2 linked regions of the Schizosaccharomyces pombe genome follow. The protein of the gene in region 2 interacts with the protein of the main gene of each other region in a biochemical or structural test. Each region holds a gene or a part of one and is shown on either strand. Other genes may lie near its edges.

Region 1 (7,513 bases), 5.0 Mb from region 2:
ATTTTTATTTTGCGGTTGAAAACGCTTGTGAGTTTTACCATACGAGGCTGTTCTTTTGTCCTCTAAAAAGTCATAAATTTCACTGATTTCTGATTTCCAGTAATTTCTTTCCTTTAATTTCCTTAAGGAATATGGCAGCATCCATAATATAAACAAGCGAGTATGGAAATCATCAACATTTGCTTTTGACATGAGTTTCCTTATAAATTGAACTTTGTCCAATTGATTTCTAAAACCTTCAAATGTTTTAGTTAAACGATCACCTTTGTTGGATCCTTGTACTTTCCCTGTTTGTCTGAGTAATTCTTGCCATGTAAGACTTCCATTCTCAGAAAACATGCGTTCAGCGAATTGTTGCTCTAATTCTTCTAGGTGATTCAATGTATACTGTCTTTTAGTATGCTCATTTGGGAATAATGAAGGGTATTCAGTAAAGTGTTGATCAAGTTTTGAAATGTAACTTTCAACATCCTTATTTGGATCGAATTTCCCTATCTCTGGTACATGCTTCGATAATATTTTTGCAAAAAGGTTTATTAAATGTTCGTCTGATGTTTGAATTCCATCCAAATTCTCTGGTCTCCATCGTTTTGCTCTTGCTTTCATATAACGATAATTTGCGTAGGACATTGTATATGTTTCCCTTTGGGAGATTTCAAAAGGGATAACAGTCCTTCCAAAGTTCCTTCTCCTTTGAACCCAGAAGGAGAGAAATATATATATTTATGATATATATTTATTCAATAATTCCTTTTTCCTAAAAGGAGTTAATTGTAGATCACAAGAGTTCAGTTATTGTAAGCTACGCAGTTTGGTATCTGATTTAAGGATACGTAGAACTGCGGTGAGTTTTCCTTGTGATCTATTATATTACAATACACAGGTTGTATAAGTAGCAACTGAGTATAGGTATTGTATTAACTGGGTTATAATGTTACCTATCACTAATATAGCTCATAACTGAACTGAGGAACGAGGTTCAGCAGTAGCTCTATTTATAGTATTCAGATAATATTGATCTTAATAGATTATCATTAAGATCAATCTCCATATCGTATCATACATGGTACGATATATAATTAGAACATGTGACATATAGTGATACTCAACGTAGTGTATTATAGCGTAGTGTAGTATTGCTGACAATAAGTGATATAGACATTCAATCGTTATAGCGTATTATTTTATTTTGTTTCGATTACTCACTGTTACATTATTTACGATTAAGTAATTCACTATTCTGAAGATACGTTCAATTACAGTAAGTTTTACTTGAAACCTGCTATATTGTGGTATAGAGGTAATCTGAGTAACACTGCTATTGATATTCTTGTATATATAAATGATATTGTGACTTATCATTGAAATTGCTTATGTATGAACCTCGTTCCTAAGTTTAGATGAACTCTACTTACGATTTTTAATGTAGAATTTAAATATCAGAAGAATCCTAAATTTTCTCGAATGCTACTTCTTTCATAATTATCAATTAATAAATCTTTAAGTAGTTTCCATCACATGACGCATAATGATTTTTAACGCAGTGCACCTTAACTTAGCTTAGGATTGCTGACATATTTCGAATTTTTTCTTTGGTTCATTTCATCTGTAATTATTTTGTTACCAAGAGAGCATGGGAAGCTTGCTGCAGCTACCAAATAAAAGCCTCTACAGAGCACCGTTGAAAAAGAGCACTTCTTCACCCATGAAGTAGTGAACTATAGAAAATGTCATCTGGCAACACGGTGTTAGTTGTTGACCGTTTTGCAAACAAAGATTAGAGAAAGCCAAGACAAAAAAAAAAGGTTCCCGACATGTAATGTATTGCAGTGTTTACCAATGTCAGTCCCGATCAACCCTTTTCTCGCTTGCCAAAAAAAGAAGAAAGAAAATGTTTCTTTTGCGTAGTGGCAAAACAAAAGAAAATCCACATTCTGTAAGGATTCTTCAAAGGATAACAAGTCCCCACTTTTGATTACCGAATGTGTAAATAAATTTTTTTCGCTCTTCACATGTCTATCTTGTTCAAATTGGCATGAGAAAATGTTAAAAGATGGGGTACAGAAGAGAATCTGGGGAAGCAGGCAGAAGAAGATAATTAAGACATATTATTGATGTGAACAAAACAAGGGGATTATTTGGATTCACCTGACGATTAGAAACACGCAGTACATGAGAGTACGTAAAGTACCACCGAGTCATTCACTTCCCTGCCCCCCTCTCCACTTTTCACAATAGCGCATGCCATAGCGACTCAATTTTCTAGTAACGTACGTATAGTCCACATTAAGACAATCTCCCGGCTTTGCAAAGTCTCTTTAATCCTGCATAGTGCTACACAGTACAACTAGTGTTAATTACGAGTTAGCCTTGGTTCGCTGCGGCCCTTTATTTTGCTGTGGCCCAAGAGAGGGCTTCTTCCATGCATTCGGCTTCACTAGATCCGGTCTTACTGTGCTCTAAGCGTCACTCGTCACATTATGCAATATTTCGTTAAATAGTACACCGTATTGCCATCTTACCTCTCGTTATATCTTAGAATAAACGGTCGCTTAGCAGAAAAGTATGGGGAAACCCCTTTAGGTAGCAGAGAATGACGTGACCGTGAAATTAGGTACATTAGTACCCGAACTTTGTTTTCGAGGAATTAAAGAAAAAAATCATCATCAACTTTATAAACTAAAAGAACTCATTTTTCAGCTTCAAAAAATTCCTTGGTTTAGCTCATTTCAATCTCCTTTTAGCCGTTGTTTTTGTTGCCTAAAATTTTTCCTCGTCTACGATCTTGACACGTCATGACTACATAATATTACATTGTATGTTACCTGGTCTCACTGCCCAGTGCCTGGTGCCAAAACCGAGGATCAGACGTAAATCGATCTACATCCTTCTTACATGTAAAATATATATATATATATATGAGGGCCTGGTGGTGAAATGTAGGAAAAACCAAGTTGTACCAATTTTAAGTGTACGAGATTTAGGGATCGCATGGAAGCCCTATTCTTCGTAGAAGAAAATTTTTGTTACGTGTTAAAGTTACTTCAACTTTACCCATCTTGTGTATATTACGTGAAGATTTCACCTATTTGACTCATTTACTAGTTGTTTATTTATTTATTCATATATATTCACTCATCTATCTTTTTTGCATTTTATATCCCAGCGCCACTTCGCGGACTTCTATTTATTTGACAAAAAGGAGCTTTTCTCTGTTCAACATCAATAGGCAATACAAAGGGAAAATCGAGTTGCAGTTTTTCCTTTTCATCACAAAAAAATTAACCACCATCATCCAAGAATACAAAACTTTTAATTTTGTTTATTTTCTGTTTATTAAAAATTTATTTATTTGCTTGTTTGATTTCGTCTCTTTCAATCAACAAGTTTCCTCATTCATCCTTGTTCACGTCGCCCAGGAGTTTCTTTGTCTTATATTTTTGACTCCTTGATTGAACTCGCAAAAAGTCAATAATTGTTATTTTTATACAGTTTCTTCTCTCTTACGTTTCCATTTTGTTTATATTCTTTTTTTCCGAAAGCACACTGTAAATAACTCAAAAAATTTCTCTTAACCCGCACACCTCTTCACACTCGCCTGCTATCTTTTTTTTCGTTTTAATTTGTGTGCCATTTTAAAAGTTTCCTGTATATATATTTTAGCTTGGCCAATCTTGTCTCTGTCCCTTTTACTTAGGATATAACATCTTCCAAGGTGTTTTCAAAAATTTTGTGCTACTATGCTCCATCTTCTGTCTAAAGACGAATTTAACTCTACTCTTAAGTCTTTTGAAGAACAAACCGAGAGCGTTTCTTGGATTATTGATTTGCGCCTGCACTCCAAATATGCTGTTAGCCATATAAAAAATGCCATCAACGTTTCTCTTCCAACTGCGTTGTTACGTCGTCCGTCTTTTGACATTGGAAAGGTTTTCGCCTGTATAAAATGCAACGTAAAAGTCTCGTTGGATGAAATTAATGCCATATTCCTATACGACTCTAGCATGGCTGGCATGAACCGTATTTATGATTTGGTACAGAAGTTTCGACGTGGTGGATATTCCAAAAAAATTTATTTATTAAGCAATGGATTTGAAGCCTTTGCTTCCTCTCATCCGGACGCCATTGTCTCTACCGAAATGGTCAAGGAGTCGGTCCCATACAAAATTGACATCAATGAGAATTGCAAGCTGGATATCCTTCATTTATCCGATCCATCTGCGGTTTCTACCCCTATTTCACCAGATTATAGCTTTCCATTGAGAGTTCCTATTAACATCCCACCACCTTTATGCACACCTTCGGTAGTCTCCGATACCTTTAGTGAGTTCGCGAGTCATGCGGAATACCCTGGATTTTCAGGTTTAACACCGTTTTCGATTCACTCTCCTACTGCTTCTTCTGTTCGTTCGTGCCAATCTATATATGGTTCACCCCTCTCTCCCCCAAATTCAGCTTTTCAAGCTGAAATGCCATATTTTCCAATCTCTCCCGCCATTTCTTGCGCATCTTCTTGTCCTAGTACGCCTGATGAACAGAAAAACTTTTTTATCGTAGGCAATGCCCCTCAGCAAACTCCTGCCAGGCCATCTCTACGATCGGTGCCTTCTTATCCCTCCTCGAATAATCAGAGACGGCCTTCTGCTTCTCGCGTTCGTAGCTTTAGCAACTATGTTAAATCCAGCAACGTCGTCAATCCAAGTTTGTCTCAAGCTTCCTTGGAAATTATTCCACGGAAGTCAATGAAACGTGATAGCAATGCACAGAATGATGGTACTAGTACGATGACAAGCAAACTTAAACCATCTGTTGGTTTATCAAACACACGAGATGCTCCAAAACCAGGCGGTCTAAGAAGAGCTAACAAACCGTGCTTTAATAAAGAGACCAAGGGAAGCATTTTCTCCAAGGAAAACAAAGGACCCTTTACTTGTAATCCCTGGGGTGCCAAAAAGGTTTCTCCTCCTCCTTGTGAGGTGCTTGCGGATTTAAATACTGCTTCTATTTTTTATAAGTTTAAAAGACTTGAGGAAATGGAAATGACTAGATCCCTAGCGTTTAATGACAGTAAATCTGATTGGTGCTGTTTAGCTTCCAGCCGCTCCACTTCCATTTCAAGAAAAAATCGTTACACAGATATCGTGCCCTACGATAAAACAAGAGTCCGTCTAGCCGTTCCAAAAGGATGTTCTGATTATATTAATGCTTCACATATAGACGTTGGAAATAAAAAATATATTGCCTGCCAGGCCCCTAAGCCGGGAACTCTTTTAGACTTTTGGGAAATGGTTTGGCATAACTCAGGAACAAATGGTGTTATCGTAATGCTCACAAATCTGTATGAGGCGGGAAGTGAGAAATGTTCTCAATATTGGCCAGATAACAAAGATCACGCATTATGCTTGGAAGGCGGATTACGCATATCTGTTCAAAAATATGAAACCTTTGAAGATTTGAAGGTCAACACTCATTTGTTTCGATTGGATAAACCTAATGGTCCTCCAAAGTATATACATCACTTTTGGGTGCACACGTGGTTTGACAAAACCCATCCAGATATTGAAAGCATCACGGGAATCATACGTTGTATTGATAAGGTTCCCAATGATGGACCAATGTTCGTTCACTGTTCAGCAGGCGTAGGACGCACTGGTACTTTTATTGCTGTAGACCAAATACTTCAGGTACCAAAAAACATTTTACCCAAGACGACCAATTTGGAAGATTCAAAAGATTTCATATTCAATTGTGTTAACTCGTTGAGATCACAACGGATGAAAATGGTTCAAAACTTTGAGCAATTCAAATTTCTCTACGACGTCGTGGATTATTTAAATAGCGGCGTTAACCAGGCTTCCAAGCCCTTGATGACTTAACGAAACGACTGTTCTTTAATTTTCTGTGTTTGTACACACTATGTTCTATTTATGTGAGATTGTGTAATTCCTCATTTTTTACATTATCTGACGCGAAGGTTATGTTAAAAATACTTAACCACACTCTCCGGTAATCATGTGTAATTCCTTCCTTATTGTTGTTAAAAATTGATTTTATCTCATGCGTGTAATGAATGTTTATATCTAGTTATTAATGAATCTTGTTTATGTTGGAATGGAATAATTGTTAAAGACTAAATTAGTTATGTGCACGTAGAAACTTCCTTCTTTTTTATTTTAACCTTTCCTATACGATATTTCATTACAAATGTTTGTATAGATTTTAAAGTACTATTAAGTATCGTACATCTGGCACATAGCAGTATTATTGAATGGAAATAGATGAATTAGAATATTTGTAAAGAGCACAGTAAGTAGTAGCAATAATCAAAAAATTATCGTAGCCGAGACGCAATTGTTTTAAGGCATATATATAATGACTCGTTTATTTCGCCGTATTTGCTGCCTGTTGATTTGCATTGTTACCAGACATAATTATCAGAAACAATATCGGGATGAGATATAAACCATATTTTTGGAAAAATGTCTTTTCCTCAGGTTCGGACTCTAATTCATCTTCGTCCACATTTGGAGATTCTTCGGTTTTAGAACCCTGTTTATTTCCTTGTTTTTCCTTCTGGGGTTTAGATGGACGTGATCCCTTTTTTCTGACAGCAGTAGTTAAAATTGGAATTGGAGAAGAAGGATGCAATTGCTCGACTACAGCACTTTCTGAGTCGGATGAAAAATCAAATGAGTGGACCACTTGAGTAAATTTTGCAATCTCATTGCTTTCTGATGAATCACAAAGTATGATATAGTGGTCTCTAGGTACTTTTGGAAGGGTTTTTATTTCATCAATTTTGTATTTGCTGGCGCCTGCAAGCCATGTGTTGGTAGAATCTTCGTATACTCCACATTGTACAAAATCAGAGTGAGAAAGATTACTCCAATCAATTTGTGAGTCCGAAGGACGAAATGTCATTTCTGGGATATCAATAGTACCATGTGGAAATATTTCTGTTTGCTCATTATGTGATACAGCGCAAGAAATAGGAATTTCTAATGCATGAGCAACAAAGGCTAAACTGATAAAAATCAAGCCTTGTCCTAGCATTTTTAGTAAATTTCGTAAAATCTATGAGATTAATAAAATATATTATCTTTTCCGGACGAAAATTACTTTTTGTATCTGAAAGTAGGAAGAGCGTAGTGTTTAGGTGTTAAGCTCGTCCATAATCATCAAGTGAAGCTATTTTGCTTAACTGTGACGAAGATAGCTCGCTGACATAAAAATAAACTAAATATTAGTAGTTATTGTTAGAAATATTCATGATTAAGGCTTTCAACGGATTATTTGCTAATTTTCCTTTTTCACATAAACCATTACTAGCCATACAACATTCGCTTCTTAAGTGAGAAAGAAAACATTTGGACCTTAGGATTTCTTCTTCCTAACTTTTTTCAATTACTTTACTGCTTTTTATAGCTCATTCCTCATCCATTAGCGCTGTCACCCCTACTGCTATTAAGTAACATATCAATTGGTAAAGGAGCTTTTGCCAAAAGCAAACACT
Region 2 (7,765 bases):
TAATTGATGTATACATAAGAAACTGGAAATGGCGATTTAGCTAAAATTTTATTATGAGAAATTGTATTGATTTTGTTATTTAACCAAATTCATCGTTCCCTACTAAAGACAATACTTTTTCTTTAAACAAAAATTGATAATGGATTTTCTCTTCAGAAGGGGGTTTTCTGTTAGATTAAGAGCTAAAAAATTGCTGTGGATACCTCGCTTTTCGTTTCTCATGGTACACAGTTAAAGCGGTATATTCGATCTTTCTAATACAATTTCGAAGCGATTTTACGGTTGATACAGCAAGCTTGTTCACCATTGAACAAGATGATATCAAAATTCACCAATTGTTTACTGAAAAGTCATTCTTCATACAAATGTTCTTATCTTTTTGGCGGTGCGTCAAATACCCATGAAAAAGTATCTTAGTGTTTGACCTAGCTTATGTTCCATGATCTCGCATTTAGTGTTCGTTTAACATATGGGCGTAAAAAGCTTACCTCCGGTAAAGATAGGTAGACTCGGTCGCCATCGTTACAATACACTCTACTCGCTGAAGATGATGAATGATTCCGTTCATGATATATATATCGATAGCCTCTTCTTCCCTAACAACAACGCATCCTTTGTTCACAAGTTTTACAAAAGTATTGTAATTCTCTGCTCCAATTTTATAAGAGAAGTACCTATTCTAATAGTTTTTTCTGCTTGAAGGGAAATTCGCATTAACCCTGATCACGCTGGTATCGCATACTCACCAACGTCAAATTTGAATACTTAAGCACGATTTTTACGATTTTTTTTACATTTATTAGCGTCGATAAATCGTAAAATTTTGGAAGAAGGAATTCAAACGATCCAGTTTTCCCATATCTTTTCTGTTTATCAAGTGGTGATTGATTTGTTTGTTTACATCAATTGCCCTGTCCAAATCACACTTTTTACAATTCATACGTTTTTCTCGACTTTTTTAAAATTGTTACCGTTTTCTTCTCTTCTTTTTATTTTTGTACGTCTTTGAATACTAATTCACGATTCGTTATTTCCCGATCATACTAGTTTGTTTCGATCCATTAACCCGAGGTAAACATCTGTAATTATCTTATCAATCTTCGAATACCTCCTTTCTTTTTATCGTGATACTGGCTATTGATCGTTTATTCACAGGACATTAACCACAAATATCCGGGTTGAGTCGTTAATTGCTTTAAAAAGTCTCATTTCTTAAGTTTTTCAACTTAATTTTATTTTATTTTATTTTTTTGTTTTTAGGATTTTAATACTCCTTCTGCTATTTGTTTTTGTGTGCGTCCATTGATCGTTTGTTCTCCTACGCTATTAGATATACACCTCTCTTTGTTGACGTTTCTCTTTTTTTCTCTATTCAAATTTTTTACTCCATCTGACCGTTCTTTTTTTTAACAACCATTATGACTGTTGAGCAGAAGATTATTTTTTTCGATTTGGATAACTGTTTGTATCCTAAATCTTACAAAATCCATAACATGATGGCTGCTCGTATTACTGCATTTTTCTCTGATAAGCTTGGCATACCTACAGAGGAGGCAGAACGCCTTCGTGAAGTTTACTATCGGCATTACGGTATAGCAATTCGTGGTCTTGTTCTCCATCATGAAATTGATGCTGTGGATTATGATCAGCGTGTCGATCAGTCTCTTCCCTTAGAGAAGGTTATAAAGAAAGACGAAGTTTTGCGTGAGATGCTTTTAGAACTTCGTAAAAAGTACAAGTGCTGGATTTTTACGAATGCATATATCGTTCATGCTAATCGTGTCCTTAAATATCTTGGTATTGAGGATTGCTTTGACGGTATAACGTACTGCGACTACAATGCCAAGGATTTGATCGCTAAACCCATGCCTGAAATGTATGAGCGTGTAATGAGAGAAGCAGGCGTTACTGACAAGGATAAATGTATATTTGTCGATGACTCATATGGTAACATTTTGGGTGCTCGGGAGTTTGGTTGGAAATACACTGTTCAATTAGTAGAACATGGTGATCCACTTCCCCAACCTCAAGCAGGATCGCATGTTATTCGTGATATTCACAAATTCAAACACTTGCTAGATGAAATTGATGGCGAATAGTCATCCAGCTTTTCTATATCAGGCTTCGACTTTTGAAATTGAACGTGCATTTTTAATCAACATCTTCTTCATTTTTTAATCCCCTTTTTCATAGAACGGGAGATTTGTTGTCACTGTCAATCTCCTTTTTGTATTTATGTTGCTTCAAGCACGTCTGTTTTGAGCCCAATTTCTCTTTTAACGTTTTAGCCTCTCCTTTCTCCATCACCTCTAACTAGTTTTAATTGGAAAAATTATTTGTTCTTCCTTTTAATTATTTTTACGATACTGTTTATTCATAGCTCTTTTTTTGATTATGAAGATACACTTCGCATTTGCTAAGTTTTTATGTTTTATGAAGTAATTCCTAGATGACTATGATTTTTTTTAACGTTTTTAAGATTTTTATTTAACTTCATGTACACAAGATGTCCAAAATCTTGTTGTATAAATAATAAAAGTTAAAAATTAATAAATACACTACTTATTATAAAACCCGTAACTACATTAACGAACTTAAAAACTAAATCATACAGATTAGCATTATAAACCTAGATGGGTAACTATTATAATGGCTTTTTTTTTTTTTTTTTTTTTTTTTTTTCTTTCAAAAAGAGAAGTTCGGTGATTTATTCAACTTCTGAATTTGTAGTCAAAACAAGAAGAGGAAGGTATATATGTTCATTACTTGGAAAGAGGAAGTTGGAAATAATTTTCATGGGCCATCGCATTACCATATCCGAAAAAAAAGGATAAAAATTTGAATTTCAAAATATTTTAGAAAAGGAGTGGCGAGAAAAAACACCACACTTGAAAATCGCAATTGTAATTTATAATTAAACGGAGGATTAAAAACCCGATGACCATTAGAATAATAGAAAAGCCTAAAATTCCATGGAACCGAGATGATATAAATATGATACACGTGAACAAAATAGAGTAATCATAACATACCCCGAGAACAACTTTTAAGGCTTTATCTACAACTTGTTTAGGATTGCAGTTCATTATCCATGTTGTGAAACGACAAAACCTCGGAGTACATCATGACCTTCCAAGTCTCCACAGGTAAATCATTATCTTGGAATGACCAGTCAAAAACTTCATCAGCAACAGGCTCATCAGTAGGATCATGGTATGGAGCAAGATAGTTATGAGCCAAAGCATCAGCAGCACTAATACGCTTACGAGGATCAAAGACAAGCATTTTTTCTAACAGATCAATAGCATCTGGATCGGCGTTTTTGAACTTTTCAGCAAAAGGAACTTTCTCCTTTTGAGGCAATGATTGAACAAAGCGAAGTGTGTTTTTACTGCAAATCGTCTCAATTACTTCCATAGGCGGCGTTCCCAACAATTCCGTGATTATAGAAAACTGGTTAACGTGGTCTCGGCCGGGAAACAAGGGTTTTCCTTCAATCATCTCAGCAAAAATACAACCCGCACTCCAAATATCAACTTCGACGTTGTACTTTTGCCAAGTTAACATAATCTCAGGTGCACGGTAATAACGAGTAGAAACATAGCCCGTCATTTGAGGGTCTTGAATACGAGCCAAACCGAAATCGCAGATTTTTAAATCGCAATTTTCGTTAATTAAGATGTTACTGGGTTTCAGATCACGGTGAATAACACCGGCAGAATGAACAAACTTGAGCCCTCGCAAGATTTGGTATAAGAAGTATTGTATAAATTGCGTCTCTAAAGGTCGCGATGTAAGTAGTCTATGAAGATCTGTTCCCAGAAGCTCCGTGACAAAATAAATATCTTCAAAGGGAGAAATAAAAATATCGCTCAAGCTAATAATATTCTCATGCCTTAAATGCTTTAATAGTTTTAATTCCCGATAGGTACGTTTTGCCAGTACCGGAGTACTAAAGGGTTTCATAATTTTCTTAACAGCGACATTCATTCCAGTTAGCTGATCCTTCGCTGAACAAACGAGGCCAAAGGCGCCCATGCCAATCGGCTGTAAGTCGCTATATCTAGTGGTAATTTCAAAACATGTACCGAATATTTGTGTACGAATAAATTCTGCCATTTTATTCAAACTGGTTACAAAAAGGACTATTCAACAATAATCTCAAAAATTTAAGCGTCCTTCGTCTATATCGAAAAGTAACTTTCTCTTCTTTTTACAAGTTCCCAACAACGCTGCGAAGTGCCAAGCTTTATAATAATTACGATAACAATCGTCGGTATCGGACCTCGTATTCCGTTAAACAGATTGTGGTGTTTGCTTGTAATAAGCAATGAAGTGCTCTGGTTAAGTTGTGGTAAGGAGGTATGTAGCTGTGATTAAGTGCACACCGCACTACAGTGAACTTGCGCTTCAGCATCCAGAACCTCAAAGAATGAAGTTCCGCCGGTTTAACGATGTTTTTAAAATGTATTAAACAATTTAAAGTACTACTACTTTTGATAACAACTGACGACGATAAACACCAAAGTGACCACTCCTTCTACTCTTACCAAGGCTTTGTTGTCCAGATCTGAGATGGGTTAGTTGGTAAAGTTGTTAAGCCAGCTTTATTAGATCAACTTTTTTAGCTATTTGAGCTAGTATTCATTATTGAAATGTGTGTTTCAAGGAAAAAGTCTTGTAAGCTAACCCAATTTGTCTTTTGACAACAGTTACTGTTGAAAAACCCGTTCAATTATAGATCTGACATTTCATTTGATCCATAATGCTCGATTTCGTAGTTAATTTGCTTGTTTGCCTCTATTAGCCCAGCGTCCGCGTTTTGATTTCTTAGCGAGTTGTTAATATTATGGTTTCACGATTAGGCATTAATCGGGTCTGTACCTTCCACATTTTGGGACGAAATAACCAAGGATAATTAGGTGCAACAAGTCATTTTCCATTTCAATTTTCCTTTTACTTTATTAAAAAATTTTTAATTAAAAAAGTTTGGACAAATACCATTTAAAGTCTACGAGGAAATAGGACACAATACTACGTTAAATGTATGTTTCAATAAAAAATCAATTCAATAAAAGGACAAAAATTAAAAGAAGGGAAAATCGAAAAAAAAAAGAATGTGATGCCGAAATTACCATACGGCTCAGTGAGCAGATAGACTAAAGATACGTATTATATGGAATTCTTCGCCAAAGATACATGCAAAATGTAATAAAAGTTATATATATACATATATGATAGACTTATACCAAATTGCTTCCATGGCGGAGATAACCAAACGGGGTAAAAACAGAGTACTTTTAAAATATAGACCAGATTAAAAAGAATGAAATTATGCCTTCATAAATTTGATGCAAATGAACCCAATACGATGAGTGCTAACGCGTTATTCTTAGCGCAAATTGTTCGGAAGAAAATAAAAAAACATAACGTGATCCCCAAAAGAATGCTTAATAATGAGTCAGTAGAATTCAAATCAATAAAAGTTTAACACGACAATGCTTTTATAATGATAAAGGAATGAGGAAAACTGTGGCTCCGAAAGAGAGGTCTACGATTTCATGCGAGAAGTTCCACGAGCTAGCGGAAAGCGACGCATCGCATTAGGTATAACCGTCATTGACGATGTCTCAGAAGCCACAGAAGCTCGAGGTTCTACTCCCTTATTGTTGTTCATGAGAGTAAAATACGTTTCGGATTCACCACTGTCATCAGTTTCACCGTTTCGCGATTCCGCAGAATTAGAGTTGGAATTTGGTCTTGACAATACTTCATTTCCAAGTGATTGAGAAGACGAATTAGGATCACTTGGCGTACCAAATCTTGATGACTCAGGTGATATATTCTTGTGCGTATGCTCTTTAGCTTCAGGGGATAACACGTTTTTTCCACCACGAACAGGAGGTGAACCTCGAGGAGCAAAACGCGGATCAAAAGTTCGACCCAAGCCCTCATAATCACTCTTTAAAGACTGTTGCATTTGCATCAAAGAAGGAGAATACAAAGAACGTCTAGAGCGACGAGTTGTAAGAGACAACATATCCATATTGTCAGCAGTCATTGCTCGTCCTTTTGAAAGGGACGGAGCAGAAGGAATTCTGCCCATATTTGGCTTACCATTTTCGGGAACAGAATATGGGTGTAAAGGTGAATGTCGATCAGAAACGAAGGATGATGGATTAATAGGCCGCATATTAACCAAAACTTTGTTTTTCTTAGGTGAATTGTCCGTGGGCCCATGCATATCATTCATGTGATGTGGTTGAACGAGAGGAAGGTGTTGAATACTCGAAATTAATGCACTTATTGTTCGTAAACGAGGAACTTGGAGGGATTGTTTAGTAGCTAAATCAATACAATAATGTAAATACTGTACAATTTCAACAGGGCGGTTTGATCTATATTCTCTAAAAGCCGGATTCACCTGCATATGCGAAAGTAATGTTTCGCGTTGCTTGGAAAGTTTTTTTACATCCAAGGAGGATCCAAGGCAGTTACACAAGCTATCAAGCTCTTGTAATATACCTTGGTGCAAGTCATTGATATCGGGACGTTCTAAGAGCTTGGGCAAATTGGGATTTTGCGTGAGTACAGTTAATGGATAAAGAGAGAGGGGTAAAGCGAGGTCCTCAATTTCCAAGGGAAGCAATGTATCCAATATTTCAGATGAAATTTCTCCACCTTCCAAAATCTCAACCAACCTGGAAAGCTGGTCAATTTCGAGATTGGAACCAGCAGGAGCTAAGTAAAACGGAGCGCAGTCTCCAAAGAAAAATTCATCTACAGAACGTTGAGATACAGGTGTATGAGTAATGAGAGAAAAGATAGGGTTTTCAGGATATTGGCGTTGCAAAGCTTCTTCAACCCCAATGGCACCAGTAGAGTTATAAACAATACACGTATGCTTAGCAGTGATCACCGGTTCTAATATGTTGGACAATTGAAAATTGCGAGAATTAGGTTTGATTGAAACAAATACATAATCGAAAGGCTCAGAATCAGAGGTAACCTCTTCAAGCTTAGATAAACGATACGTCGGACGGTATTTACGAGTTCCGAATTTTTTCGATTGAATAGTGAAGACGTTAGTAGAAGGCTCGGGGGCATTGAAAAACATTATAGTTTCTTGGCATGTCACAACTGAGCTTTGCTGTAACCTCCAACCTAATAAAGTCGTGATGGAAGGGCTACCAACACACAAAATGCTGACACGCTCCTTTTTTCCTGCGTCAGTCATTTCAGTAGCAAATTAAAAATGACTCTTCTTAAAAAAAAATTATATTTACACTTTAAAAAAAAAACTCAATCGTTGGTTTTGGATTTCTTTTTTCGAGTTGAATTCGTTTGTTAAATCTTTAATAAACTCCACGATTCCATGCAGCTCTAATAACGACTATACTAAAACCGTTTTCACACGTAAATCGAAAGCTTTTCTAAAAGTGATTTATCCAAAGCAGCAAATTGTGGTTTGCTATTTTTCGAAACCGTTTCTATAGGATCACACCGTACAAAAGAGCGCTAATTGTAAATGTATGTATTTGGAAAAGGGAAATTGGTTTCCAATGGAAACGATCGGTTTTCCTTGTGGCTTCTAAGACGTATGATTGTCGGTCTCGGGGTTATGCTTATGGTAGAAGAGCGTGTATGGATATGACAACTCATACCATTCCGCTTGGCACGATCTTCCTTGGAGTGCACTAAAAAAAAACTAAAAAAATTTTGATCACTCGTACTACAAATAATACTTATTTTTATTAATACTTTA

Evidence for each region. Proteins that work in one complex are often made in the same cells at the same time.
Region 1: of the proteins of sty1 (region 2) and pyp2, one has a biochemical effect on the other in vitro, tested with the Schizosaccharomyces pombe proteins (3 studies listed by BioGRID).

Annotation. Positions count from the first base shown.
Region 1 is NC_003424.3:5,199,083-5,206,595, forward strand, and holds pyp2 (protein tyrosine phosphatase Pyp2), read left to right. Parts: upstream 1-3,573; 5' UTR 3,574-3,740; coding exon 3,741-5,876; 3' UTR 5,877-6,120; downstream 6,121-7,513. Other genes in the region: Tf2-8 (retrotransposable element/transposon Tf2-type), read right to left, coding at 1-630; protein Emc10, read right to left, coding at 6,382-7,053. UniProt on the Schizosaccharomyces pombe protein: Plays a role in inhibiting the onset of mitosis. Dephosphorylates sty1/spc1 and wis1/spc2/sty2.
Region 2 is NC_003424.3:203,795-211,559, forward strand, and holds sty1 (MAP kinase Sty1), read right to left. Parts: upstream 4,343-7,765; 5' UTR 4,120-4,342; coding exon 3,070-4,119; 3' UTR 2,682-3,069; downstream 1-2,681. Other genes in the region: SPOM_SPAC24B11.05 (pyrimidine 5'-nucleotidase), read left to right, coding at 1,419-2,099; SPOM_SPAC24B11.07C (oxidoreductase), read right to left, coding at 5,552-7,237. UniProt on the Schizosaccharomyces pombe protein: Proline-directed serine/threonine-protein kinase involved in a signal transduction pathway that is activated by changes in the osmolarity of the extracellular environment. Controls osmotic regulation of transcription of target genes.